Linked DNA regions of Tribolium castaneum. The protein of the gene in region 3 binds, or shares a complex with, the protein of the main gene of each other region. Links are inferred from orthologs where the notes say so. Each region holds a gene or a part of one and is shown on either strand. Other genes may lie near its edges.

Evidence for each region.
Region 1: IntS9 (region 3) and defl share a complex: the UniProt entries of both Homo sapiens proteins name them as parts of the integrator complex. The link is inferred for Tribolium castaneum from reciprocal best matches to the Homo sapiens genes INTS9 and INTS7.
Region 2: IntS9 (region 3) and IntS1 share a complex: the UniProt entries of both Homo sapiens proteins name them as parts of the integrator complex. The link is inferred for Tribolium castaneum from reciprocal best matches to the Homo sapiens genes INTS9 and INTS1.
Region 4: the proteins of IntS9 (region 3) and IntS11 are in contact, whole or in part, in a cryo-EM structure (PDB 8RC4), measured with the Homo sapiens proteins. The link is inferred for Tribolium castaneum from reciprocal best matches to the Homo sapiens genes INTS9 and INTS11. Residues at the interface, in NP_060720.2 of Homo sapiens: Glu127, Gly198, Tyr199, Ser200, Gln201, Lys202, Tyr231, Glu338, Phe339, Ile342, Phe343, Glu345, Gln352, Lys354, Val355, Tyr356, Leu357, Pro358, Glu359, Pro360, Pro361, Arg511, Arg512, Tyr513, Glu514, Lys515, Ile516, Glu517, Ile518, Met519; in NP_060341.2 of Homo sapiens: His94, Gln97, Ala98, His137, Leu138, His139, Gln140, Thr141, Lys274, His277, Tyr278, Lys280, Leu281, Phe282, Ile283, Pro284, Trp285, Arg291, Phe294, Ser449, Pro450, Ser451, Ile452, Pro453, Val454, Gly455, Ile456, Ser457, Leu458, Leu461.
Region 5: IntS9 (region 3) and IntS2 share a complex: the UniProt entries of both Homo sapiens proteins name them as parts of the integrator complex. The link is inferred for Tribolium castaneum from reciprocal best matches to the Homo sapiens genes INTS9 and INTS2.

The regions. Positions count from the first base shown.
Region 1 is NC_087397.1:6,151,501-6,156,888, forward strand, and holds the end of defl (integrator complex subunit 7), read right to left. Parts: intron 4,489-5,388; coding exon 4,271-4,488; intron 4,220-4,270; coding exon 3,738-4,219; intron 3,689-3,737; coding exon 3,390-3,688; intron 3,333-3,389; coding exon 3,131-3,332; intron 3,085-3,130; coding exon 2,794-3,084; intron 2,421-2,793; coding exon 2,179-2,420; intron 2,101-2,178; coding exon 2,046-2,100; 3' UTR 1,992-2,045; downstream 1-1,991. UniProt on the Homo sapiens protein: Component of the integrator complex, a multiprotein complex that terminates RNA polymerase II (Pol II) transcription in the promoter-proximal region of genes.
Region 2 is NC_087397.1:1,925,539-1,932,087, reverse strand, and holds the start of IntS1 (integrator complex subunit 1), read left to right. Parts: upstream 1-2,097; 5' UTR 2,098-2,139; coding exon 2,140-2,556; intron 2,557-2,606; coding exon 2,607-2,882; intron 2,883-2,932; coding exon 2,933-3,685; intron 3,686-3,733; coding exon 3,734-4,599; intron 4,600-4,796; coding exon 4,797-6,444; intron 6,445-6,488; coding exon 6,489-6,549. UniProt on the Homo sapiens protein: Component of the integrator complex, a multiprotein complex that terminates RNA polymerase II (Pol II) transcription in the promoter-proximal region of genes.
Region 3 is NC_087399.1:2,706,628-2,713,167, reverse strand, and holds IntS9 (integrator complex subunit 9), read left to right. Parts: upstream 1-2,203; 5' UTR 2,204-2,306; coding exon 2,307-2,315; intron 2,316-2,361; coding exon 2,362-2,553; intron 2,554-2,604; coding exon 2,605-3,009; intron 3,010-3,057; coding exon 3,058-3,618; intron 3,619-3,664; coding exon 3,665-3,767; intron 3,768-3,810; coding exon 3,811-4,208; intron 4,209-4,252; coding exon 4,253-4,402; intron 4,403-4,451; coding exon 4,452-4,571; 3' UTR 4,572-4,669; downstream 4,670-6,540. Other genes in the region: E3 ubiquitin-protein ligase UHRF2, read left to right, coding at 1-113, 164-641, 691-837; uncharacterized protein LOC103314074, read right to left, coding at 5,480-5,797, 5,844-6,033, 6,078-6,252, 6,300-6,375. UniProt on the Homo sapiens protein: Component of the integrator complex, a multiprotein complex that terminates RNA polymerase II (Pol II) transcription in the promoter-proximal region of genes.
Region 4 is NC_087396.1:21,613,255-21,619,678, reverse strand, and holds IntS11 (integrator complex subunit 11), read right to left. Parts: upstream 3,817-6,424; 5' UTR 3,686-3,816; coding exon 1,898-3,685; 3' UTR 1,882-1,897; downstream 1-1,881. Other genes in the region: gustatory receptor Gr103, read right to left, coding at 4,017-4,277, 4,326-5,174; Gr101 (gustatory receptor), read left to right, coding at 5,363-6,424.
Region 5 is NC_087401.1:16,831,558-16,836,129, reverse strand, and holds the end of IntS2 (integrator complex subunit 2), read right to left. Parts: coding exon 3,012-4,572; intron 2,163-3,011; coding exon 1,949-2,162; intron 1,902-1,948; coding exon 1,612-1,901; 3' UTR 1,591-1,611; downstream 1-1,590. Other genes in the region: dnaJ homolog subfamily C member 5, read right to left, coding at 482-773, 832-854. UniProt on the Homo sapiens protein: Component of the integrator complex, a multiprotein complex that terminates RNA polymerase II (Pol II) transcription in the promoter-proximal region of genes.

The DNA.
Region 1 (5,388 bases), on a different chromosome or scaffold from region 3:
TAGTGAAAAAAAAGTGCCGTCAATTGTCCATCGAGGCGGTTCAGAATAAGGGAAAAATCAAGGTTTTTTTTCGTTTTTAATCGCCCAAAAATTATTTAATTTTACCTACAGGTCAACGATCAGGTAGAAAGTCCGCTCACAGACTTATTTGGGAGAAACCACACATACTTGCGAATATCACTCAGTGAGAGATGTAATTTACGATGTAAGTTCCAAATTTCTAAAATAGAAAATAAACAAAAAAAAATGTAGGTCAATATTGTATGCCTGAAGAAGGGGTCAAACTATCCCCGAGCGAAAAAATCCTAACATCTGACGAAATCATTCAAATATCACGCCTTTTTGTTAACGAAGGAGTGACTAAAATCAGACTAACGGGGGGTGAGCCCACTGTACGGAGAGATTTGCTCGCAATCATAGGTAAAAAGCCGCGAAAAAAGGCACTTCACTCACACAACCTTGCAGAAAATTTGAAAAAAATCGAAGGGCTTGAAACAGTAGCGATGACCACAAACGGTTTAACTCTGACACGTCAGTTGGTTGCCCTACAAAGGGCAGGCTTAGACATAGTTAATATAAGTTTAGACACCCTAAAGCGGGACAAATACGAGTTTATTACGAGACGAAAAGGGTGGGAAAGGGCCATGATGGGGATTGACTTGGCCCTACAGTTGGGGTACGACCCTGTTAAAATTAATTGTGTCGTCATGAAAGGTACTAGACACCCTCTATTGGCTGCTTTAACCAAGTTTTAGGGTTCAATGACGACGAAATAATCGATTTTGTCGGTTTTACCAAAGATAGAAACGTCGATATAAGATTTATCGAGTACATGCCGTTCACGGGAAATAAATGGGATTTGAGTAAATTAGTGTCATATCGAGATATGTTATCTGTGATAAAAAAACAATACCCCGATTTGTACCCTCTTGAAAACAAACCAAACGATACGTCTAAAGTATACAATAAGCAAAAATAAAAACAATTTTGACCGTTGATTATTTAGGCCTGGAAGGTACCAAAATTTCGAGGACAAGTAGGTTTTATAACATCGATGAGTGAGCACTTTTGTGGCTCTTGCAACCGCTTAAGAATCACAGCTGACGGGAATCTTAAAGTTTGCCTCTTTGGAAACACTGAAATTTCATTACGAGATGCACTACGAAGTGGTTGCAGTGAAGACGATCTAATCGCTTTAGTAAACGCGGCTGTGAAAAGGAAAAAAAAGCAGCATGCAGGTACAAAAATTGCATGCTTGAACCGCTTGCATTAAATATAATTACAGGCATGCTGAACCTTTCTCAGATGGAAAACCGGCCGATGATACTAATCGGTGGCTAAAAATAAATTTAGTTGATATATCTCTAAGGTACTGTAGGACCGAATAATTTTTGACTTTCCAAAAATATAACAAAAAATTTTTGTTCCAGCTCCCATTTTGGCCCGCGCCTACTCAACCAAGCTCAGTCACGTCACCTCCGAAGGCAAGGCCACTATGGTGGACGTCACCCCGAAGCCAGATACTGTGAGGACAGCCAAAGCTCGGGGCATTGTCCGGGTCAATTACAAAACGTGCGATTTAATTCGGGACGTCACTGCGAAAAAAGGCGACGTTTTGACCGTTGCACAACTTGCTGGCATTATGGGGGCGAAAAAAACGTCCCAACTCATTCCCTTGTGCCACAATATTGCGATTAGCAACGTCCAAGTCAACGTCAAGCTCAATTACGAGCAGAAACACATCGACATTGAGGCGAGTGTGCGGTCCGTTGGCAAGACTGGTGTCGAGATGGAAGCTTTGACCGCTGTCAGTGTGGCGGCACTGACTGTTTACGATATGTGCAAGTCGGTCAGTCACGACATTGTGATTGGTGAAATATCTCTCGTGAGCAAGAGTGGGGGCAAGAGTGACTTCGGCGAGCCAATCGTATTGAAGACGCTCGAGGAGTCTGTCAAGGATACGGAAATACGGGTGGGAGCAATCTGATCTATCGTTTGTTACTGTTTATTGTTACAAAATTGCGCCAAAATAAATAATTACTTACTTAGGGTTTTTTCTGATGAGGTCTTAGAAAAAGGTTATCCTCAGGCATCAAAATTCTAAAAAAAAGAAAAAACCGAAAAAATTCACAATAGAACAAAACGACGTCCACTTAATCTAAGTCTCGCCAAACTTACACATTGGCATTTGACGCCATGCCCGGCACCGAAATCGGTGTTAATTTTGCCTCTTCGGGCACTTTCACGGTCAAGGTTGACCTAGGACCGGTCTTCCAAGTGTTATTTTCTTCGTCAACGACTGACGCCTCGACGGCCAGCAAGTACTGGCCGCCTTTGGGGAACGCCAGCAGAAACTGCGCCGTGAAAAAGTCCTTGTGAGGTGTCACGGACTGCGTCAGCACCGCCACTTGCTCCAAATTCTACAAAATTTAAGTTTATTTCAATCCAACTAATTCCTAATTACTTGGAAAAAAAAGAAATGTTGAGCTTAGTGCTCTTAACAGACTGAGAAAAATTGACGACTAAAATTTTCATAAGAAACAAATTATTTAAAATTTGCGCCCGTCCCGTGTTTTTTTAATGGAAATATATAATTTTCTACAAATTTCTTCCTAACATTTTTTTTGTATCTTTAACCATTCGCAGCGTTTTGAAAAATATGGGGTAGAGAGTAATATTTTTTTCGAATTCACGGTAATGGAACTGCGCCCTCTACTGACATTGACAGAACTATCAAGGATGGGGATTTTATTTGTATGTCGTATCCTGATCTCTAGATATCCGTAGACCCACCTTATCCAAATCCTTGCTTTTGGAATTGTTCTGTATCTGCGAGGTCACAGTGACTATGACCTCCTCGATTTTGCGGAAAAGCCCCGGTTTCATGCCGTGTTGAATCACCCCTTCGACTTTCACAGCCAACTGGGAATTGGCTTGGACACTTATGAATTCACCCATGACGCGAGGTTGGGGTGAAATGGCCAACTTGACGCTGGTACATTGCAAAACTTGGAAGAAATACCGTGGAATAGGCAACGAAGCATTTGACAACACTTCGCAGATTTTCTTCAACAACTCAATGTGCTACAATTTTAAATAAAACACACAAAAACGAAGCGAATTTAAGTACCCGGTGCGTTATTGTAGTCATTGAAGAGCCATCATCAAGAGCGTGCGCAACTGTTAAAGCATTGCAACAAGCTTTTGTCAACTGTTGCGATTCGAGACGTGTTTCACGCGATCCGAATTCAATCGGATCGTCACGGATTTTTGATCCGTTGACACAAATACTTTCCACGCTTTGCTCCACAAGCACACACATTTGTTGCAAACTGCAAAAACACACGTTAAAAATAACTAAATGTACAGAAAAAAACAAACGAACACACATTTGCATATTTTCTAAGGTGGCAGGGTCAGCGTCGAACGCAGTTTGGTACAGCTTCCAGTAGAGGTCGCCACAATTTTTAAACTCTTTCACACACTTTCTCAACTGATTCGTGATATATCCGTGTCTTTGATACTCATCTCGCGTGTTTTGGACGATAGTAGCGGCAATCGCAGGCGGCGGGACTATACACAGGGTGTTGCAAGTATAAATGAGTTGGATCAAAGACTGGAGAAACTCTGTACGGATTCGCATATACTCCGCTTGGAATTGTAAATTATGTGAGGGGGTACTAGCCGCCTGAAACAGTGCGTAACAATCACAAACCAAAAGTCGGTAAAACAGGAACCTTCAAAGCCGCGATGGCTTTATTGTAATGTATGATCGCCCGTTCCAAGCGATTTACCAAACTATCGTCCGAAGTGAGTAAAAACGACTCGGCTTCCGACATTTCCTTCAAACAAACCAACCAGAAATGGAAATGTTCAGAACTGACTTGTTCCGTCAGTTGGTTGAAAATCGTATTTGCGATTTTGTGGTGGCCGTATCTGACCGCAGCCCGCGCTATGCAATAATTCGCCCACAGATTGTTATTTTCAATAACGCAAAAAATCGCACTTTCGGTTTCTTCGTTCCAGGTGTAGTCAGACATGCTTTGGAAAACCAGCGTACAAAGCATGATTTTGATGCGCGTTTGTTGCTCCGTTGGTTGGTCGATTTCGGATAAAGCGCGCAATAAGTTGAGAATACTGGCGAGAAGCGAGAGTAAAGTGTCGGGTTTGAGGCCCCCAATAGCCCCCAAAGTCTCACAGATGACGATGGTACAGTCGTCTGTAAAAAATCGATTTGATTTGTTCTTGAACCATAATTGAAATAACATACTGTGTATGTTGTCGAGGCGAGTGCCGAGCAGTTCCACAAACGTCTCGCAATATTCTCTCCGCGCTTCGCACAGTCGAACAGCACATTTCAGTGCCAGCTTGAGCTGTTTTGGGTGTTTGTCGTTCGAAAAAGTCAAAAGCAAAATTAAAGTTTCGAGGGCCGAAATCACTTCGTCCGCTCTTTCAGTCTCCAGTTTCTCCTTGTAGCTAAAAATACGACTGTTTTTTGTTCTTCCTGGGTAACGGAGGACTAAACTATTAGGGGGCGACAGGTGTAAAAGTCAGTTTTAAAATTTTGCACAATAAAACGACAATTTAATTTGAAGCAAGAATCAAATAATTAAAAAAAAATACAGAAAAATTGCCTTTATTTTAAATGTGTATTAGAATAGTGTAATTACAAATACTTATTAAGATTTCGTTAAAATGGTTTCTCTGGAATTTTTGCTCAACAAATAAGTTTTAACAAAAAAAAAGTGACGTAGGCGTAACAAAAATCAGTGAATCAGACAAACTTCTTTGTTTTCCACCTCGTAATAATTAGTTATCTCAAATAGTATATTTTGTACTGGTAACGTGTTATCCATATTCTTACACAATTCGTTGGCTAGTGTGTGTTGATTGTGGTTAGTGTATGCTACTGGATAGGATTTCAAGGGAGAAAAAAAGGAAACAATCCGGATTTAGGGGTCAGTCTTTAGTTTTTTCTTTTTAGAAAGATTACATTATTATCTAAAAATTTAATGGCACATTTCCAATCTCTAATAAGAGTTGAAAATACCTTTATTTGAGGTATTTTGAAGAGTTGTCTGTACCATGTGATCATTTGAATTTATTAGTTTTATAATTTGTATGAAAACGCTAATTAACATAATTAAAATCAAGCTGAAAAGTCAAAGTGAGTCAAATAAAACACTAAAAGGTGTCTCTGGTTAAATAAAAATTGACCTGTCTCGGGATGTTTTAATTTTTTGTTTATTTTCTGATACTCAGGGCAGCTCGTTTTTTAAAAATCACACTGTATATGGTATTATTAACACCTTGTACTTATTTTATTTTTTATTTATAGATTTATCATCTCCTTAGCTTCAAAAAACTTCTATAATTCTATAATTATTA
Region 2 (6,549 bases), on a different chromosome or scaffold from region 3:
GCAACAGTGCATTTGCGGAGCTGGACAAGATAAATTTTTTTAACATTGTTCCGACAACTAAAAAGCCATAATTTTATTTTTAAAAAACGTCTTTTTTATTGTTGAATTAGTGGTCAAAAGGGCATTGTGTGACAAAACCGATTTCGGGGTGAAATGGGGCGAAAACTGCAATAATGCATTTGCGGAGCTGGAAAACATAACAATTTTTAACATTGTTCCGACAACTAAAAGGCCATAATTTTATTTTTAAAAAACGTCTTTTTTATTGTTGAATTGGTGGTCAAAAGGGCATTGTGTGACAAAACCGATTTTGGGGTGAAATGGGGCGAAAACTGCAACAGTGCATTTGCGGAGCTGGGCAACATAACAATTTTTAACATTGTTCCGACAACTAAAAGGCCATAATTTTATTTTTAAAAAACGTCTTTTTTATTGTTGAATTAGTGGTCAAAAGGGCATTGTGTGACAAAACCGATTTCGGGGTGAAATGGGGCGAAAACTGCAACAGTGCATTTGCGGAGCTGGGCAACATAACAATTTTTAACATTGTTCCGACAACTAAAAGGCCATAATTTTATTTTTAAAAAACGTCTTTTTTATTGTTGAATTGGTGGTCAAAAGGGCATTGTGTGACAAAACCGATTTCGGGGTGAAATGGGGCGAAAACTACAATAATGCATTTGCGGAGCTGAACAACATAACAATTTTTAACATTGTTCCGACAACTAAAAGGCCATAATTTTATTTTTAAAAAACGTCTTTTTTATTGTTGAATTGGTGGTCAAAAGGGCATTGTGTGACAAAACCGATTTCGGGGTGAAATGGGGCGAAAACTACAATAATGCATTTGCGGAGCTGAACAACATAACAATTTTTAACATTGTTCCGACAACTAAAAGGCCATAATTTTATTTTTAAAAAACGTCTTTTTTATTGTTGAATTGGTGGTCAAAAGGGCATTGTGTGACAAAACCGATTTTGGGGTGAAATGGGGCGAAAACTGCAACAGTGCATTTGCGGAGCTGGGCAACATAACAATTTTTAACATTGTTCCGACAACTAAAAGGCCATAATTTTATTTTTAAAAAACGTCTTTTTTATTGTTGAATTAGTGGTCAAAAGGGCATTGTGTGACAAAACCGATTTCGGGGTGAAATGGGGCGAAAACTGCAACAGTGCATTTGCGGAGCTGGGCAACATAACAATTTTTAACATTGTTCCGACAACTAAAAGGCCATAATTTTATTTTTAAAAAACGTCTTTTTTATTGTTGAATTGGTGGTCAAAAGGGCATTGTGTGACAAAACCGATTTCGGGGTGAAATGGGGCGAAAACTACAATAATGCATTTGCGGAGCTGAACAACATAACAATTTTTAACATTGTTCCGACAACTAAAAGGCCATAATTTTATTTTTAAAAAACGTCTTTTTTATTGTTGAATTGGTGGTCAAAAGGGCATTGTGTGACAAAACCGATTTTGGGGTGAAATGGGGCGAAAACTGCAACAGTGCATTTGCGGAGCTGGGCAACATAACAATTTTTAACATTGTTCCGACAACTAAAAGGCCATAATTTTATTTTTAAAAAACGTCTTTTTTATTGTTGAATTAGTGGTCAAAAGGGCATTGTGTGACAAAACCGATTTCGGGGTGAAATGGGGCGAAAACTACAATAATGCATTTGCGGAGCCATAAATATTGAAATTAGGTGAAAAAGTGGGAAAAATTAAAAAGCAATTTGTGGTAAATAATTGAGTTTTTCGCTATTAGCATAGTGACTTTCTTAAAATGTCATTTTTAAGAGGGTGTTTAGTGTTTTTTCGGATTTTTATTTTATTAAACGGTTTCAAAGCTGACAACCAAACATACATCTAAGCAAACTGAAACTTATTTTGCTAGTCTGAAACTGGCTTCATGTTCGGGTCTCTTCGGAAATTCGAGGAGCTGGTTTTGGGAGCTGTCTTCACACAAATCAAAACCTGTTAGTCTGTGCACCAACACCATAGAATAAGAGAGAGATGGTTATTGAAAAATGGTTGGTGCAACTGGCAACTTATCTCTTATCTGTCAAAATTTTTTTCTTGTTTTGACTGCGAAAAAACCAAAATTGTTGCATTGTTTGTGATAATTGGTCCACCATGGATCGGAATAAACCGGGCCAGAGCCAAGCCACTCGTGGCCCCAAGGCCAAAATAACGCAACAACCCCCTGACTTGTTCATCGCTTTGGGGGCCAAACAATCCTCCCCTCGAGATGACCCCAAACGTAGCGTTCCGCTCCCTAAAACCAGCACTGCCTCCCATTTACAAACAAGTAGCAGTAAAGTGACGGATAAATTGAAGCGTGAAGGGACTTCGTCTAGTCTTACAGTGCCCCCTTCGAAGAAAATGAAAGTTGCGATACCGGGAAGCCGGCCAGGGCCCTCCACTAGCAGCATACTACCTGTGGAGAGGATGGGGGTTGAGCCGTGGGAAGCCCTGGCTGTGGACTGTGAGACAAGCGATTTGTTCGAGAGTATTATGGCGGCTGTTAATGCCGGCAATACTGATAAAGCTGTAATTTTTTCTTGATTGTGTTTAGGGGTGAAATTAATTGGTTGCTTCAGGTTGGGTATGTTTTGGGGGTCATTCGCTCGTTGAAGACTCAAAGGACTAAGATTTGTAAAGTGGTTTATCTGAGTCTTTTACTGACTTGCAGCTGCAAACCCCAGTTATTCACTAATGAGAATATCATAGCGGCTATTGTGAATGTTCTGCGGCGTGATGTAACTTCCGGTTTTAAGGGCGTTAACAAAACAAATTCTTACTTCCACATGCTGTTTATTAATTTATTAACTCACGCCTTCACCGATGTCGCCCAATGGCCGGAAATTTTCGTCAAAGTAAGTCGGAAAAAAAATTAAAAATGTTTCAGAATCACAATTATTCGTAGATTTATGTGGAGGACGCGGTGGCCGATCGCATTTTTATCGACAATCCGTACTGTAAACCATTCGTTGATAACATAATCACGGCGTTTAACACCAAATTGCCCCCTTCCTCGCTCCTCAAATCCGAGACATGGAATTCCACGGCTAGAGACACTTCTAGCCCCCTCACAATCACAAGCGCTGACGACGACACCAAAAGCGAAGTGATTCTCGAGCATAAAGCCGCAGTTGAAAACTGGAACGTCAAAGTGTATCCCCGGTTCACCCAAACGCAGGAAAACGTCGAAAAAATCGTCCTTGAAGCCATCAAGGAACAACTAGCAAGGCGCCAACAACCGGAAACCATCACGAAAAACTTCGTCCGCTTCTTGAGTATCGCTTCAGGACTTGTGGAAATTCGCATAATTGCCGTTTCGCGCATCGAGAGTTGGCTACACAACCATAAGTTGATGAAATCAGCGCAGGAACTCCTCGCCTATTTGTGCTACAATTGCTCGGCGAGTTCGCAAAGAGACTTGGAAATAATAGCGCAGCTGAGCAAGCTCAGACTGAAGAACAAACCCATGGTTAACTACTTCAACAACTGTCTCCGGGAGATGGTTTACTCGTTCCCGGAGAACTTGTACCCCCTTTTGAAATACACGATTTACAACGAACTGTCCAATGCCCGAAATTCCAACAATTTAATCGTCGTGGGGGCCCTGTTTCAGGTCGCACCTGAGGCAAGTGCCGACGCTTTCGCCGACATTTGCCTGGTGAGTACACCGATAATCAAAAACAAATTGCATTAAAACTGTCCCCAGGAGTTGCTCCTAAACAAAGACGATTATTTGCGTTCGCTGCGGGCGCTTTTGAAAGAAATCACCCGAGTCCTCCGGCACGATTTCAACTTGTTAAGCATCGTGCATTCGCTCGTTCGCGAGCGCAAAGAGTTTGCGAATAACGTGCGCGAGTCGGAATTTCGCGAGCGAATTTTTCTATCACTGGCCGACCTGGTCTGCATGTGTATGCTGCTGTGCGTCAGCCCTCAGGTCCGCGACGCCTCAACGCAAAACAAACGCGACGTCACGGTCCTGAAAGCCTTCCAGAAACAAGTCAGTAACATACAGCGGGAGGCAGTGACTTGGCTCAACGACTCCGCGCTAAGGGTTTTCCGGCCAAGTCTCAACGACTTCCACCACGTTCTACTCAAAGTCTTGTTCCTCGAACAAGCGGAGCATTACTACAAGGTCGACTCGTGGCCTGGCGAAAACGAGAGGAACTTGTTTTTGAGGCTTACGAGTGAGGTTCCCTTGCTTCAGGCGACTCTTTTGAGGATTTTGCTGATCGGGAACTCGAAAGAACACCCGATTAGTCCCACGGAAGCGATTGAAATTAGCGATCAGTTGATTAGAAGGGCGGCGAATTTGCCCCAAGACTGCGCCCCGCCCTTGGTCGTTGATAATTTGGAGATAATCGGGATTTATTTCAACTTGTGCAGCTATAATTATCCGGAGAATATCACGCTGCCGGCGGGGTATGTGCCCCCCAGTTTGGCCATTTCTGGGCTCTATTGGAAAGTTTGGCTCATTTTGCTGATCATAGCGGCTCATAATCCGGTCACTTTTGGGAACGAGGTCTGGAACAAATACCCAACGTTGCGCATGTTCATGGAAATGTGCATAACAAAGTTAGTATCTCTTGAAGGTCAGGATATGAAACGACGTACAAATAAAACCGTTGTTCCATCACAGTCAGCTCAACTTTTCTACATTTTTTTCCAAATAATTTGTGAATTTTTACTATATTTTTTGAGTGCGATTTTGTATCTCGTTTCGCTCCGACCTCCAATCCCCGTATACTTGACCCTAACTATCCCCATTTTAGTCACTTTTCGTTTCCCCCGCCCACCATGACCTCCCTGGACGAAGACTACCAGTCCCGCGAGCAGCAAATCCTCGCCCTTGAGAAGCAAAAAATCCTGGAATTTGAATCACACCTCGCGGCCGCGAGCACTAAAATGGAAATCACCGAACAGAGCAGTCTCCTATTGCCCCAATTAATGGAGTTGCGGCCTGAGGGCGAAGCCCGAAGGCCCCCCCAAGCCGTCCTCGACCAGCTCCAACACTTGAACAACACGCATCGCATGGGACATTTATTGTGCCGCTCGCGGAACCCCGATTTTCTATTGGACATTATGTCGCGGCAAGGGGGCACCGCGCATATGCCGTGGCTGGCCGAGCTGGTGCACAATTCGGAGGGGGCGTTGGCCCACCTGCCTGTGCAATGTCTGTGCGAGTATCTCCTGTCGACGACACCGACGGAGAAATTGACGAAACATGGCCAGCTTTTGGCGCATTTGCGGACGGTGGTTAATGAGAATGATCCGCAGACTGCCTGTGAGGTTTTGGAGTATTTGTTCAGGCGGTTGACGTCCGATCATGGGGCGAGTCGGACGCAGGCCACCAAAGGCTTGAATTTGATTTTGGCCGAAGGGGAGGAAAGCGAGACGAATAATACGAACTGGTTGACGAGTTACATAACACATTTTCCACACTTTACGATGATTAAACCAGTGCTTATACAGTTTTTGCGGCAAGCCTTGCAAATTGAGACAAATCCGGCGCGGGTTTCGAGTTATATCAATTTTTTGGCAACGCAGGATTGTAACGATTCGTTTACGGAACTGCACGAATTAATCGCCGATTTATCGTCGGTTATTATCGAGAGACACAGCGTGGCTTCGTACGTGTTGCCAGGGCCGGACAACCAAACTTTGAAGCACCTTTTGACCATTTTTGCGAGTCATATTCAGAAAGCGCAGGAATTCTCGGAGGATATTTACAGTTCGGTGCAAAACTACAGCGAGTATGTTTTGGTGACTTGGGTGACTGGGGAACAATGCCACATGCAGACTTTAGTAATACACGCAGCTATTGTGTTACTGACTTACGGTCCTTTGGAGAATTTTGAGCCGTTCGAGACTTTGTTAAATTTTTGGTTTCCGGCGAACGCCGAACAACCACAAGCCTACACACCTGATACAAACGAACGAACGTCGTATCTCCCTGATTGGATGAAACTGCGGATGATTCGGTCAAACGTCCCACGATTGGTTGACGCAGCCATTGAAAAATTAGAGCCGCCAAAGTTGGTCCTTTTTATACAATCGTTCGGAATACCGACAAATTCCATCAGTAAATTGCTGAGTACTTTGGACAAAGCCACACTTTTGGACCCGAAACTGGTCGTGGACTCAGTTTTGGACAAAACTTACATGATTCAATTGGTGGAAGTCCAAAACAAAAGAGGCGCAGTGGGTGGTGACACCTTTGTCAAGGCTATCGAGATGCAAATGCCCGTTGTACAAGACATTGATGTTAAAATCGAAATCGAGAGTAAAAAACAATTACCCAACTTAGTAAAAACCCAACAGATTGTCACAAATAGCGGCGATATTATCAATTTGTTGAATAATATTTTTAGCCCAAACTATGGCGGTTCGAAAGATCGGGACATTGTCACTGTGACCAAGGTAAAGGTAAAAGTCCGAGACAATTCATACGATTCCAATTTTAGATGGCGTTTGAGAAACAATCACTGGACGTTATTTTCAATTATTTGAAATCACTACCGATGA
Region 3 (6,540 bases):
GAGAGTCAAGACAAAGGAGAAGAATTTTATTTTACTCTTTCTAACAATCACAGGACGACAACACGTGTCATCGGGGTTCAAGAATCTGGAGTTTTTGTGAACAAAATGATTAAGTAAAGTAATTAAGACAGATTTTTTAATTGCTCATTTTTTAATTTCTCAGGACATTATCTTTAAACTGTAACAACTATAAAATGCGGAACAACGGGTTTGGAGTGGCCGATGTCTGGAAACACGGAAAACCCGTCAGAGTTATCCGGAATTCAACAGTTGCGAGATCAAAATACGGCCCTGAAAGTGGCTACAGATACGACGGAATTTACAAAGTCGTTGAATATTTTCCCGAAATCAGTAAATTTGACGCCGTTGTTTGGCGTTTTTTGATGAGAAGAGACGATAGCGCAGCTCCACCATGGCTAGTAATACAAATCGACACAATTAGTTTTCACTTGGACCCCAATATTGAATACTTTATGAAAAAAGATTCCGAAAATAAAGCTTTGTGGGACGAATGTAGCAAAGAGTTGGAAAATGGTAAAGCGACGTTTCTGGAAACTGTTAAACGACTGTTTACTTGTGTTTGTTGTCACGAGATTTTACACATGCCTGTTACAACCAAATGCTTGCACAACATATGCCACGTAAGATTGTTTAGTTTTTGGAACATTGATTCAATGGTTTTGGTTCCAGGACTGTCTTATTAATTGTTTCGCTTCAGACATTCATTTTTGCCCAACTTGCAGGACCGATTTGGAAAAAAGTTGTTCGCTGAGGATTAATGATAATTTACAAGCGGCCTTAAAACTCCTTTTTCCAGGAAATGGGTTCAATCGTTGAACAATTTATTGTAGTAGAAATAAATGTTTAACTTTCCCGGCGCATCCACCATTTTTGTCAATGGACCAAAAGTTATTAAAACATGGTTTACATCACTTTTATTTAAAAATTACATAGCGTTGACAACTAGTTTTTCTTTAAACTGAATCATCACAATTAAATATGTAAAAATAATGCTAAAAATGTGGTAAACTGTTGACCTGGTTATGACTACAAATCGGCCCACGTAAAATTTTGGAAAATTAGCGGTCATGTCTGAAATAATAATTTGGTAATTTCTTATTACAGTTTTCCTGTGTAATTTTTGTGCCAAAATTGTGAGTTTTTCTGCCTCTACTAAAACTGAGTCACACAACCATATTAATACGATGGTGCCGCCCTAAAAAACTCGATGTTTTGTGAATGTTTATAAAGAAAAAAATTATTTACCGTGGTCATTATTAGGAAACAGACGTTAGAAATGATGACCTCATCATACTCATTTTTCTCATACAAAAATCCGCTTTCAAAACTGTCATCAAAGTAGTTAAGAATCTGCAAACTTGTGTACACGATTATTAGAAGGAACGGCCATCCAAACACTTTATTAAAATGCTCGGTTGTATTTTTTAACAATCGAAGTGTTTTTTTAATTTTTAATATTTGACAGTCGTGTTTTTTGGACAATATAACACCTACATTTTTGTAACCTTGAAGTATTATATCAAGAACAACATACAATAAATACTGATAGTAAAACAACATGTATGACTGTATTATTTCAATCCCATATTGCTTGAAAAATTCCAATCCCATTACGTCAGTCCATACAAACGCGTCGTAAACACTAACAGTCCAAAAAATAAAAAAAGTTAGAACAAAGCTCGTGTAGTAATTTTTGGGAGCAAATAAACAAATTTTTCCCAGTTCATTGTTAAGGCGAAGCCACGTTTTGCGTCTCCAAAACGATGCCACAACAATAATTAAACAATTAAAGATAAACAAAGTTGCGTCCATTAAAACAGCAATCACAAGTTTGATGTGAATGAGACTCATGTAATCAGATTTTTTGTAAAATGTAGCAAGGGCAACGTTTAGTGTAAGAAAGAGTAAAACTAGCGTGGGAACTACGAGTTTTTTTGATTTAGAGGGCACAATTGCTAGAATTTTGCCCATTTTCAGTAAAAGTGATAACAGGAACATTTTGAAAATAGAGTCAACGAAAATTATTTATTCGGACTATGAATTAGTGGGAGTTCCCAATTTGCGACTGACTTTTTACATATTAAGGCTTATCGATTGATAAAAAGATTAAAAAGTAATTATTAATTAATTAAGAGACCAAAGTGAAGTTTTTTGTCCCCAATCGCTTGTGGAATGTGGGTTGCATATCAATTATTTTTTTAAGACAGTTGTAGTTATGTTCCTCTCTCTTATTCTATGGTTATGTTCGTTTTTTGTCGGCGTTTTAGGTTATAAACAGTTTTAAAATGAAATTAGTGAGTTATTTTAATGCAGATTAACTCAAATAACGTTTCGTTTTAGTACTGTTTGAGTAACGACCCGAACAAGCCATGTCACATCCTTACCTTCAAGGAAATAACTTTAATGTTGGACTGCGGTCTTTCCATGCAATCAGTATTAAATTTCCTCCCTTTATCATTTGTTGCCTCGAGTAAATTATCAAACTTACCAAACTGGATGCCAAACGACGTCTCTGATTCAGATTTGGAAGGAGTAGATAGAGTTAAAATCGAGTAAAGTAGCAAAATAAGTTGAAAATTTCAGGAATTGAAAGAGAATGGGGACCGCATTTTTGTCGACTCACCGCCGGAATTTTGCCCCCCTTTAAACAAACTCATAGATTTTGCCCAAGTCGACGTTATCTTAATTTCGAATTATTTGTGCATGATGGCACTGCCATTTATCACAGAAGGGACTGGGTTCCAAGGTAGGGTGTACGCCACTGAGCCCACTCTCCAAATCGGACGACTACTACTCGAGGAACTCGTTAATTACATTGACCAGTGCCCCAAAGCCAGTTTCGCAACCCAGTGGAAAAATCTCATTCATAAATTACCCTATCCTTTGAGCGACTCCTTCAAGCCCAAATCCTGGAAACAACTCTACAACATGAACGACGTCAATGCGAGTTTATCGCGCATACAGATGGTGGGCTACAACGAGAAAATTGTAATTTTTGATTCATTCCGCAACAATAAATAACTAAATATTTGCCAGGACGTTTACGGGGCTTTGAAAGTGATGCCTTCAAGCTCCGGCTTTTGCCTCGGCTCCTCCAACTGGATCATCACCTCCGACCACGAAAAGATCGTCTATTTGAGCGGCTCAAGCACCCTCACCACCCACCCCCGCCCCATGGACCACCACTCCCTCAAAAACGCCGATGTCTTGATCATGACAGACCTCACACAAACCCCCATCAGTAACCCGGACTCGATGTTGGGCGTTTTGTGCGTGGTGGTGGGGCTCACGCTACGTGGGGGAGGCAATGTTTTAATCCCGTGCTATCCCACGGGAGTTGTCTACGATTTATTTGAGTGCTTGTCGGTGAAAATGCAAGATTTGGGCGTTTCGAACTGTCCCATGTTTTTCGTGTCTCCAGTGGCTGATACTAGCCTAGCCTACTCTAATATTTTAGCCGAGTGGCTTTCGTCGGTTAAACAGAACAAGGTGTATGTGACCGAAGAGCCGTTCCCGCACGGACTTTTGGTCAAAAACAACAAACTTAAGCATTTTAAACATGTTTACTCGGACGGGTTCAGCACGGATTTCCAGGAGGTTTTTTTTAAAATTTAGTAGCCAAAAATAGTTGAATTATTTTTAGCCCTGTGTTGTTTTTTGTGGGCACCCCTCCTTAAGATTTGGCGATGTTGTACGTTTTATCGAGTTGTGGGGCAATAACCCAAGGAACTGCATTGTTTTTACAGGTAATTACATTTAAAATTTTTTGTTAATAAAATTTTTTTGCAGAGCCTGATTTCGACTACACCGAAGCCTTAGCCCCGTACCAGCCCCTGCAAATGAAAGTGGCTCACTGTGCCATCGACACTTCGCTCAATTTCACCCAAGCCAACAAACTCATCAGGGACTTAAAACCGAACACACTTGTGGTCCCTGAATGCTACACTCAGCCCCCAGTTTCGGCCCCAAACCTGACCGACTATGTTATTGAAAATAATCACGACCGTACATTAATTCCGTACAAATGGGGCGAAGTGATTAACTTGCCTTTGAAGCGGAAACATAGTCAGATTTTTATTGAAACCGGAGTTGCTCAAAAAATTGTGCCGGTGGAAGTGAAGCCTGGGATTAGTTTATCGAGTATTACGGGGACTTTGAGTATTAAAGACAACGTGCACAGCATACAGGTGAGAAAAATGATAAAGGAAAAAGTTGGTAGGTATTTTTTAAGGATTTGTCGTCCAGTGTGAATAAGGCGAGTAAACACGTCAAGTATGAGTGGGGGAGTTTGAATGTGACTGATTTTTTGCAAAAGTTGAGTCAGGAGGGGATTAGTGAGCCGAAGGTGGAGTCGCATGGGAATGTCGTTGTTATACATTTGGTAAGTTCATACTTACCGGTTTAATTATTTATTTTATGATTTTTTGAAGCAAGAGGAAGACGCGTTGATTCAGTTGGAAGACAATAGTACGCACGTGGTGTGCACTGGTGACGAAACTTTGAGGACAAAGCTGCGCAGTATCGTTATGCAGTGTTTGAAGAAGTTTTAGTCAGGCGTTTAAACAATTTATTACATTGAATATCGTATTTCACATGTATATAATATGTATGCAGAAGTAGACAAAGATGAAAATACTTGTATTTAATACTTGCACGTGTTTTTCCAAACACCCTGCACTTATCAAACACAAAGTTACAATTGTAAATTGTACAACAGCTTACGAGATAATATTACAGTAAAAAGTAATAAATATAGTATATTTTACAGACATGTATATATGGTGGAAGAAACAAACGCACACTTTACCTCTTGATTGTCTTAAAAAAAAGTAATTACAAATATATCAAAAACTACACACGAGAGTAACTTATGAGAAATTTACACAGTGTATATATTAAATAATACAGGCACGTTTTTTGATATTTCTGGATAAAGTAAAACACATGGAATGCTTAATAAACTTATTCAAATAATTCACAGCTTTCTTCATAAAGTATGTACAAAATTGACTGATAAAAGACAGCCAAATCACATTTCTTGAACATTGTAAGGTCTGTCTAACGTATTTAAGCAAAATCACCCTGCCTGGTTTCGTGTCATACAGTGAGAAGGTTTAAATGTTCAGTGGTTTAGTACAGTAGGTAACAGTAAAGGGCAGGCAGCGCCACCGCGTTATATTTTTTTTATTTCAATAAATAAATTAAATATTAATTTATTGCGACAGACTATCAGTGTCCACTAGATTATAAAAAAAAGACTAAGAAAGTTTCAACAATATTGAGGCTTTCCAGATTTTTATGAATCAAATGTAATTCTCAACAACCGTTTTTAAAAAATAAATAATTTTTTATTAAGGGTTGGAGTTAGTCCCCCGTTAATTTGTTATTTATTTTGCGGGTGTGCTGCCTGCGGGGTCCGGGAGTTAACAGAACGCGACCAACCCTCGCCTTGGCAACATTATGTGACCGCCTTTTCGTAGGAGGGCGGCGGGGAATCCCGTATAATTTGCACGGTTTCGGTATCATTTTGCGAAGGCAACATGATGGCAATGTGGTACGGAGGCGGCGGCAATTCAGCAGAAGCGGGCGGCATGAGCGAGCTTGGCACTTGGTTGTGAGTTTCCTCCTGGTCATTAACGGGGGCCACGGCCACGCTCTCCTCCTGTGGCGCGTTCGCAGTCGCCGTGATCGCTTCGTACAACGAGACTAAACCTCCAATTATCAAAAGTATTACCAAAAGGGAGCAGAAAGCGAACGCTTCCATCCCAATGTTGACCTGAAATAACAATCATTCCGACACAAATTATGGCGTTATTTTTTACCCCGTGAAAGTAGTATTTGGCACCAGCTATAAAGAACGTCACTATTGCGAAAAAAACCCACACGCCGCATTTGAACTTGGCCGTCGGGGTGGTGTGTCTCCGAGGGGTGGGCGTGTGGATTTGCCCCCCTGTTATTATTTCCAGAGAGCGCCCCATTTGAGTGTTGTTGCGGACGCTCGTAGCTGCCCCACTGAAATTTTACGTTAGCACGTTTCTAAAGCAAAAATTCGGTACTTGTAGTGGACAGATGGCTGGCAGTGCAGGGGCGCTCTGGAATGGTACCCCGAAGACCGCGCGTATCTCAAACCATTGTTGGCCACACTCTCAATAGACTGAAAGCGATGTACTGGAGTTACCATCGGTTTTGGATGAAAGCCGCTGCACACAAATCTCGGATTACGGCCGTACCCTTTAATAAAACACTCGCCACTTTATTTAAACAAACCCAAACTCTACCATAGAATGATGGAGGCACCAGTCGTCTGCCACTAAACCCACATCCTTGACTACGTTTGTCAATCCAAAAATGCATGTGTAAGACACACACTGCCCCTAATTTATTATTTTCTCGTCGGGTTTAACAATTTCGTCCCGAACATCATCTTGTTGAAAGCACAATCAATAAGTTGGAAGCCTAAAAATAACAATAACAACTAATTTTGTACCAAACAATTTCTGTCACCCAAACAAGCCGTCC
Region 4 (6,424 bases), on a different chromosome or scaffold from region 3:
AACTGCCGTTGACACGCAACAGTTGACGTACCTATCAAAAAAAGTACACGTGCTCTCGCTCTCGCACCGTTTACGAGGGCGCCTCAAAAATTATTCTGCCCGCCACCAAATTTAATTCATTTTAAAAATTAAAAATTAAGTATTTGCAAACAGCCCTCTAACACGTGGACACACTGAATGTAACGGGGATGTTGAGAATATAAAAAATGTCCTGCAAACCACTTGTTCACCTCAAAGCCAGGGTTTCAATGACTTTTAGAACGGCCCCGTATTGAAAAATCAATAATCAGGTGACATTTGTGACGTATTTAGTGGAAATGAAGCGCGCCAACACGAAATTATGTTATACGAGGGTGGTTTGAAACTCGTGCGGCGGCATATACGAGGGTCGTTTGTGGTAAATTTTGTATAAAACTTCCTAGTTGTGTGAAAATTAATTCGTCGATTTGTAGAAAGTCATATTTGTTACCTTTTAAGTTATTACGGACAAGTTTAAAGCTAAAACATTAATTGTGGCAATCAAAATACGCTAAAACTAATTTTAGCATCAAAATTTGTGAGATTACCAACCTAAAAATCGCACTAAATCGTGTGTCGATCATGTATAGGACAGAATAAATTTTTTGCTTTGAGGTGTAACGTATTTAGAGTCAAATAAGCGTTCCAAATTTAAAAAATTTTAGACAAAAAGCGTAAAGTTAAATTTACGAGTATCAAAACACTTCTCACAACATGTACTCTAATTTTAATTACTTTTAGAACTGCCCCGTATTAAAAAATCAATAATCTGGTGACATTTGTGACGTATTCAGTGGAAATAAAGCGCGCCAACACAAAATTATTTCATACGAGGGTGGTTTAAAATTTGTACCGCGGCGTTTGTTGTAAATTATGGATAAAACTTCCTAGTTGTGTGAAAATTAATTCTTCGATTTGTAGAATGTCATATTTGTCACCTTTTAACTTATTTTGGACAAGTTTAAAACTAAAACATTAATTGTGGCAATCAAAATACGCTAAAACTAATTTTAGCATCAAAATTTGTGAGATTACCAACCTAAAAATCGCAATAAATTGTGTGTCGATCATATATAGTTCAGAATAAATTTTTTGCTTTGAGGTGTAATGTATTTAGAGTCAAATAAGCGTTCCAAATTTAAAAAATTTTAGACAAAAAGCGTAAAGTTAAATTTACGAGTATCAAAACACTTCTCACAACATGTACTCTAATTTTAATTACTTTTAGAACTGCCCCGTATTAAAAAATCAATAATCTGGTGACATTTGTGACGTATTCAGTGGAAATAAAGCGCGCCAACACAAAATTATTTTATACGAGGGTGGTTTAGAATTCGTGCGGCGGCATATAAGAGGGTCGTTTGGTTGTTTGAACTAATTTTTTCATTATACAAATTAAGAATAACGCAATTTCTCACTGATCCGTTTTCAAATTGTGCATATAAATTGCTTTTTTGATGTTAAGCGCTATTTAAGTGGCACCCAAAGTACGATTTAGTTTAAAACAAGTTTTAGAAAATTTTAAGTTGCACTTATTTTCGGTGCAATTCAATTTCAGAGCTTTATTTTATTTTAATTTTTATTCTTGGACACTCAAAATGTTTGGCATTTTTCAATACGAAACGTCAAATTATTTTTAACAGATTTAAAGCAATTTGTTGTATTCAACTCATTCTCACTCGTGGTTTAATAATCCACTCATGCCGATTTACACTCAAACTCGTTAAATAAATAACTATTAAGTCACTCCGCACTCTTTTTGACAGTGGGGGAATTTCTGATAGTCACCCCTAAAGTCGTACACAATAAATTGAAACAATTTCTTTTAAATTTTCGTGTATTGGGGGTAAATAAAACACCAAATCTCAACAAAAATAAATTATTGTCCCATTCGATTCAACAAATTCAATATATAACTGCCCAAATCCTCGTCCTGATTGGTCCACGAGACGTAGACGTTCTTTTGTTCGTCCTCATCGCCTTCAACCTTGACCAGAACCGACTCGATTGAAATCTCGCCTTCGGCGAACACCACCGGCCATTGTGGCAAATTCTCTTTAATGAAACCGTGTAATTTATGGGCCGTTGCTAACGCCGGCCCTGTATCATTCAAATGAACCGTTGACGAAAACCGAATTATATGCCTATTAATCCCAGCCTCCTTACACGCGTCGTCCACGTCCATCAAACACACATTGTTCTCCTTCATGACGAGCACTCCGTGCAGGGTGCGCCTCCGTTTGGGGTCCGGCGGCAAAGCGCTGAATTTCCTCGCTTCGGACTTGAGCAGCGGCAACGAAACATCGATTGGGATTTTGACCGGTGTTGAAATAACACAAGTCTCGCCATTGGCGGGGTTATAGCAGTTAATACTGAACTCTTGGAGGATTTTCTGCTTGAGAAACTCCATTTTCTCGGCCTCGCCGTGGACAAGCATAACGTTTCGAGGTTCGCAATGTTGGATCAGTTGCATGATGCCTTTGGCATCAGCATGTGCCGAGAAACTCATGTATTCAACGGACATTTTCACCTCCACGATTTGCTTATTTTCGAATTCGACTCGTTTCGCCCCATTCAGAATTTTATGGCCCACGGTGCCTTGGACACAAAAACCGGGCATTATGACCATGTTGTTCTCATTGGGGGCCCACTTTTTGAAGATTTGGAGGCTCAGCCCCGCGTGGAGCATCCCAGGTGTGGCGAAAACCACCATGGGGCCCGGATTATCAATATACGAACGGTCGAAAGGCTTGATGTGCTTGAAATCGAACATGTTACGTTGCACGAACGTTTTTCGGATTTTTTGATTCGTCCAAGTTATAAACATTTTGTAGTAGTTGTTCGCCTTTTCGGTGAGTCCTAGGGCAAAGTACACGGGGGCTTTGAGATTCATACGTTCCCAGTATGTCTCCAGAAGGATACAAAGTTCTTGGGCACGTCCTAATGCAAACACGGGGATTAGCACTTTGCCCCCACGGTCCATACACTCGTGGACTTTTTTCAAAAAGTCGCGTTCGCGACAACGTTTCGAATCTCGAATGGTAGTGGCGTATGTCGATTCGGAGATTAACAAATCGGGGCGACATTTATCAATCCAGGCAGCCCCCAGATGCCGGTCGGGGGTCATGTTGTAATCGCCGGTGTACACCACAGACTGGGCCCCCACGCGTATCCAGAACATGGCAGCCCCCAGGACATGTCCCGCATAATACGCTTTAATTTCAATCTCGTTGTCCACCATCAAAGACTGGTGTAAAGTCACAGCAATGACTTTCTTCATACAGTCTTTGATCATTTGGGACGTGAAAAAATTCTGGTCACCTTTTTTCTCAACTGAGACTTTTCGCATGTCTTCCAGGAGAATGGGGGCGATAGCTTTAGTGGGGTGAGTCATGTAGATGGGGCCTGAGTAACCCACCATTTCGGACATGTAGGGCAAAGCCCCGCAATGGTCCAGATGGAAATGGGAGATAATTACACAGTCGATGTAGGAGGTAAGGGGACCTTCTTGAGATATGTAGGAGAAGTCGGGGAAGCGGCGCTCGTCGTTGTACCCCATGTGCATGCCGCAGTCCAACATTATGTTTTTGCCCCCCATTGTGAGGAGGATGCAGCTGCGGCCCACGTCCTGGCCGGCCCCCAAAGGGGTTATCTTGATATCCGGCATTAGAGGGTTAAAAACACCAAAAAACTAAGCAGAGCATTTGAGGTTACGTTACGAGTAGGTCATTCAGTGGCGCAGGCAACGGATCTACCACAATTCATTTTTTACTTTTAACTCCAAAACATAATGTATTTATTAACTTATTCAACTGTACTTATTAGTGATAATAAAATTTTAATTGATTACAAAATTGTCTACAGTTTTTTCCACCCATTTTTTGTTTCATTTCAAGAATTAAACTAACGTCTGGTTCAATTGATCTACTATTAAATTCACTATCGACGTGAATTACTGGTTGCCTATGGCACTTTTTTGGAAAAACCAAAATTATATCTCAATTTCGATTAAGATTACCACATAGGTGGCAACTGCAGCAATCATCTAAAAGAAACCCTAAAAAAGTAAAAATCTTGTTGATTTTTACCAAATGCCCAAACGTCCAGTCTAGACTAAAAAAATCCATAGCCGTAAAGCGCACTTTGGTGTTGTAAAACCGAATGGAAATCAATTGAAGATAACGTACATTTCTGTCAAGTTTCCCTCTTTCCAAATACTTATTCCAAATATCGTGCAGATAGATTGCAGCTAAATTAGCCTGGAAACACTTTTAACGCAATCACTTGCCACAAATCTAACCGTTTACCGTATTTTGAGTCCTTGCAAATCCATCTATTACAAAACACAACCAAAAAAAATGCAAAACGCCAAACATGCAATTAAAACCGACATCTGTCCAAAAAGAAGGACTACCATGGACTAGAACATGCAGTGTGTAGTAACTACCATCAACCATGTACCCAAACCACATTCCCATCGCAGCCAATGTTGTGATTTCGAACAGTCTTGTGATTTTTTTGGTCAAATCGACCAAATTGTAATGAGAAAACGACAATTCTTGGACTCGTCGAATGTTCGTTTTAATATCCTCATCCTCTGTTTTGATTTGGTGGCGCAAATGGTGATTAATCGAACCAAATTTAGATGAAATAAAGTTGAGAATATCACACAAAAACATGTGATCAAAAATATTGATGAACAAAGGAATGAAGTAAAAAAAGGATAAATCAATCATAGAATTCGAAAACGGCACTAGTAAAATTAAGCCAACTATACCGGCGAAAAGCAAAATTTGTATGCAACTCAAGCGCGACTTTTCATTTGTTTGAAAAATTTCAATTTTGTCGGTTTGCTCAAGTAAAGTTTTGAGTCGCTTGCTCCTTTTGCGAAACATAACGAGTGATGTTAGCATTGATAAAACCGTTCCAACGGTTGATAGCAAGTCGAGGTAGTGGAATAGACCAGTGAATCCCAGAGTCATGTAATCGGAGGAAAATTTAACACTAGTATACAGAAAATACAGCTGCAAACAAACGTAAAGAACGGTGGGAGATATCTTTACGATTTTGTGTGAATTTTTGGGACAAAACTGGATGATTCCCAACGATCTGTACACAAATATCATGTAGTTTGGGAGTGTTTCAAACAAATACATTGTGATAAAGTAGGGGAACGTAACTTATTGATTCAAGTCTAGTTTATCCAACCACTCAAGTAAATTGTTCATAAATAACAACAATGCTGTATTGTTTCTATACCTTGTGAATTTTCTCCGCACTATCACATTTTCCGATTATAAAATTAACTTTTTTGAGTTAAATGATTCAAATATACTAGGTAACCATGTGCCAAATAAAAAACAAGTTATTATTATTAGACTCATCCACTCAGCCTAATTACTTGATTCTTTCAAACAAAAACAATACGTATTTAGTCCTCAATAAATATTTACTTGTCAAACACTCCAAACCAAAAATGCCCCTCCTTCCCAAGACTCCGCTCCCTTTAACCCTCCTTTATAAACTCCTCGGGATCATCCAATTCCCCATCAGCGCCCACTTTTCCTTCATGTCCCGTTTCTTGTGCCTCCCTTTCTACTCCTACTTTTTCTACCTCTCCTACATCTACACAACCTACTCCCGAAAACTCTCCGGAATTTTCAAATACATCGACCAAATGGCCGGTTACACCGGCTTCCTGGCCATGTTAACGTCCATGGTAATGTTTTACAAACGCAGCAACGACTTAAAAACCCTCCTATCAAACCTCGAATCGATCCAAATCTACTCAATCAAGCCCAAAGAACGCAACTCGAACCATTGGGTGCGAAGTGGCCTATTTGCCTTAATCACCGGCAATGTCTTATTTTACCCGTTTCTGCCAAGCGATGTGAGCTACAACTTGTTCAGTTTCGTCCCTCTGGTGGTCAACGCTTTGGACCACCTCTTCCTCAACGACATTCTCAGCGACATTTGCGACAAATTCGAGCAAATCAACCAGCACTTCCGGCGCCAGATCAAATCCGTTGATCTGTTCGTCATTTTCCCGCTCACCAAAGCCGAAAAAGTGAGAAACTTGAAAGAGGACGAAGTCACGTTCAGCGTGCAAAAAATCCAAGAACTGTCGCACTTGCACTACAAACTCGCCAATTTCACGGTGAAAATCAGCGGATTGTTTGAAATCACCACAATCACGGCCATGGTGATGTGGTTCGGTTATGTGATCGATACGATGTATCTCTTCATTCACATCAGGTCGAGACAGGAAGACACCGACACTCTTGTAGTCATCTACACCTTCAACTTGTTTTACTTATGTTTCTGCTTCTATTGGCTGCTCGTGATGGTGGCAATGTTTAGCCGAACGCAACAAAGCGCCAACAAAACGGCCACTTTTGTCCACGAA
Region 5 (4,572 bases), on a different chromosome or scaffold from region 3:
AATTCTTAACGAATTTATCTGGAATAGTTTTGCGTAATTGAGAAAAGAAAAAAAAAAAGAAAAAAATTTACCAGTGTTTATTTATCCAATAATTTCACAATAATTGTGAAAATCCCATCGTTAAAAAACTCTTTTTATTATCGCTATTTATAAGAAGAGAACATTATGTTACGACTAATAGTTATTGAGGAAAAAATAACTAAACTAAAAACTAGTAACTTGTTAGAAATTCTGCGTTTTTTCTTTTTTTTAATATTTCTATGAAACATTACTGAGAAACTTATAATGGTTATTTATCTTAAGCCGCCATAAAGTGTGGGCATAAATTTCAATAAACAAAGTAATCTCTGACACGCTTATTAGTCACAATACAAATCAAGCAAGCAGGAAAATAAAAAAAAGTGAAATTATACGCGTCTTGATCTTCAGCCAATAAAAAACCCATTGATTACCTAAAACTGTTTGGTAAAGAAACACTCACCTTGCACCAGGTCGACGTAACAACAAAATACGCATTGACATTCTCTTCCCCAAACTGTTCGGCAATGTAGAGCCCCAACGAGCCGTAATTATCATAAATGTTCCTTTTCGTCGGATCACTCAGAATCGAGTGTGCCCTGTTCACTTCCTTAAACTTCTCGGACGCTTCCGGATTGTTGGGATTCTTATCTGGATGGTACTTGAGCGCTAGCCGTCTGTAGGTCTTCTTGATCTCTTCCGACGTCGCAGTCTTGGGCAGTGCTAAGATCTGGTACAGGGAATCCCCCTGTGTGCTAAACAGAAAACGCCGCCTTTCCCACACCGACTCCCAACACACAGGTGGACACTTACGATAGTTTGCGTTTTGAATCCATTCCGTGGCGATTTTCCCAACCTTAACGCACATACAACGCTCAAAATCGACTCTGGAAGCGGGAGAATAGGAAATACTTTGATCTAAAGCCGCATTTTGCACGATTTTTACAACACGACCAGCAATTGTCAATAAAAACCGTTCGATGACGGCAGACGGTGGTCAAGCTGACGTGGGGACAAACGCAAAGTCACCAAGTTTTACCGGGGGGGGCGCCACTAAACCAAACATCATTGGCGGGAAAAAAACGCATTTTCAATTATTTAGAGCGTTGCACGATTTTTTCGGCTTTTAGGCACACAAAAAATTATTTATTACACATACAAAGCTATAAAGAAATTAATTATCTGTTAAAACTAAATTTGCAGTTGTAGGATTGAGAAATTCATTAGCTTTTTCTCATAGGTTGACATGGAAAAAATGTGAGAAATTAAATTTTTTTAATGAATTTATTTTGTTTTCGCAGGACGGACAACACAATTTTGACAGAGTTTGTCGTTTGTTTAATCAGAAATGTTTTTATAGCCAACCATGCAAAAATAGCTGTGGTTAGTAAGAATTTTTTTACAATGTCAAAAAAACCAACATAACTCGAAAATTATCACAGATAGGTATAGGGAATGCTAATACCGATCGATGCAGAAAAAAAATCTCCTCCATCTAGTAGAAAAAAATTGAGATATCCCATTTGAAAAAATTAGTTATGGGTGCTTGAAGTTAACAAATAAATAAAAACGCATTCACTTTTTTTTCAAACTTTATTCCTGCTTATAAATCTTCGATTTGAAGACAGCCCTATCCAAAATATCACTAAACGTCTCCTGTACTAACACACACAACTCCTTGCTTTCCTCGGCTGAAACTTCCAACTCTTTGCCCAAGTGGACGTCAAAATGCGACGCTAGCGACGCCTGTGATTTGCAAACCTTAGCCAATTGCATCATTAGATTGACGATATCGTCAACCAATGGCGGGAAAGCTTCACTTATGCGCACCAAGGCGGGTAAAATCGGGCGAAATAGGCGCACCCTTTGACTACTCGACAAACCTAAGAAAACAAAATTGCTAAATTTTCACACCAAAAAAAAAACGTACTTCCAAGTAGGGCGTAAAGTAGATTCAGTGCTGCCACACATAAATTTAAACTTTTGGGCAGCGCGTATTGTATGCACAAGTGTGATAACAACTGTATCGCAAAAATTTGTTTATCGAGACTTGGCTGTTGCATTAATTCTTGCAAAAAATCCAAACAGATGTGCATGGAGGGCACGCCTTTGACCATCACCTCGATCAGCTCGCTTGGATAGCCCTGAAATAAACGTCAAAAACTATATTAAATATATAGTAATAACACAATAAATATGATTATTTAAATTCACACGTGCGAATTAAATTATTGGTCTTAACATAATAATATATTCCATATCGAGCGCGATGTAAAGAGCTTGGTCTATGGGTTTAAGGACAACAGAATTTTGAGCAAAAATAGCTGTGGTTAGTAAGAAACTTTCTACAATGTCAAAAAAACCAACATAAATCGAAAATTATCACAGATAGGTATAGGGAATGCTAATACAGATCGATGCAGAAAAAAATTCTCCTCCATCTAGTAAAATAAAAATTAGGACATCCCATTTGAAAAAATTAAGTTACGGGTACTTGAAGTTGTCCAAACTTAAGCTTAAAATTTTTGGGTTTGTTAACTTCTTTTCCAATTCTGAACACACCGGAGGACAGATGTAAGCCTTGTCTTTTAATTCTCCAAACATTTTTTCTAAATCTTCAAAACTAAAAGAGTTACCGACTTTTTAAGTGACAGGTGCAAATCCAAAAATTTTCAAAAAATCTTAAATATCTCGAAAACGGTTAAACTTAGGTATAGGGAAAGCTGATAAAAACGGCCTTAAAATAACTCAACTAATCCAAAAACGCAATAAAAAACATAGATTTCCATTTAAAATAAGAAAGTTAGTAGTAACTTCCGGTATAACCAAAAGTGCCACCATCTTGAAAATATTTTCAAGATTTTCATTTCAACTGAACTCAACGGATTTTGGCCGAGTACCAACTTTCAGATAAATATCTTTATTAGAACTTTGGGGTTTAGACGAAACACGCTGTGTATTCCATATCGAGTGCGATGTACACAATCACTCACCTGAAAGTGTACCAGTTTGGCCAACATCGTATCCGCGATAAAAACCTGGTGTAGATAACTACAAACCAACGACCTAACTTCCTGAAGTGCCCACTTTTGCCCCCCAATCGTACGATCCTCATCTGTCTCAATACAAGTTTCTAGTAGCATTTGAACAGCTGCACTTTCCTGTGCTGCAATGGTCGCCCGACACATCTCCTCTCTATCACTCTCATTTAAAACTTGCCCCGCATGATCCAATCTCGGATTAGCTTGCAAATGTTGCATTAGTTGGCTGCGAGACGACGCGAGACTTGCTCTCAACACCCTCAAAACAATCGCATATAAAGGGGCACAGCGAAAAACACGCTCATCGCATCGCATGATCTGGAGAGGATCCTCAGCGACATCGATTCGTGTCAGGTTTGAGAAATCATCGACTAGGTTTTTGACGGTTAGAACCCACAATCGGCGGGGAAGTACCGTATTAAAGCGTAACCATACGTCTCTGTACAGGTCTTGTAAGTAGCGTGGGACATTGTCATTTAGGATCTTGCGGGCGAATTGTGTGAAAATCTCGGCAAATGGCCATATATCTATGGCTTGCTGTTTGAGTAAAGTTTGCATAAGCTTGGCACACTTTGATGGGTTAGTGTCCAAGTCATTGAAAGCCTCAATGACGCTTATTTGCGTCACGTGGGTTGGCTTATGCTCCGTTTTGATGGACATATCGTCCAACCAATCCTCCACTAGTGTCAAGTGGGGGAAATGCGTAGCTAGGAGTTTGAGCAACGGCCCGAAAAGACCCGAATAGGAGCTTTGGTCTTTTTGGGCGTGGTGTAGCAAGTATTTGATTGGTAGTTCCGATAAAAATTCGGAACTATACAACTTGATTTTGCGGTTAAACGCGGCCAAAATGTGGGCGTTAACCAATCGACAGTCCTCGTACAGGAGGAGATAGTAGAGGAGGAGGAGTTGTGGGGTGAGACTTGTACCATCCACCACAACGTCCTGATTCTCACTATTTAGGTCAAAATCCATGGTAAAAATCGACTTTTTGTGGTCGAAATACTGTCCAAAGATCGAACTTTGAAACACGCGCCGTATCTCATTCTCACTCAACGGCTTATTAGTCTCAGTGTTCCGTGAGGTTGGCATTATAACACTGTTAACGTACACTTCCACTAGCATTGGCAACACTGGATGTAAGGGACTAACACTCGTACAGATCTGCTTATAGATCCAGTTTTTTATATTCACGTTGTGTTTGGCAAACGCGCGCGATTTAAGCAACTGATGGATGCAATGTATGGGTAAAAACCCGGTCATATTCGCACTTAACGAGTTCGTAACCGGAACCTTAACCGCATGTGCGGTTACAACTTGTTCCGTGAAAATCTCCTGCGTGAAGACTTGCTTCATCCTTGTCATGTTGTTATGTCTGATGGGGATTTTCATCCCCAAAGTGGCACACACCAAATCACAGATGGCACTCAACTGGTTACTATGAAAATGTATAGCCATCAGTAGTAACATTTCGCCAAAACTGGCAGTAACGCCACTGGCCGACTCAAAATACGCC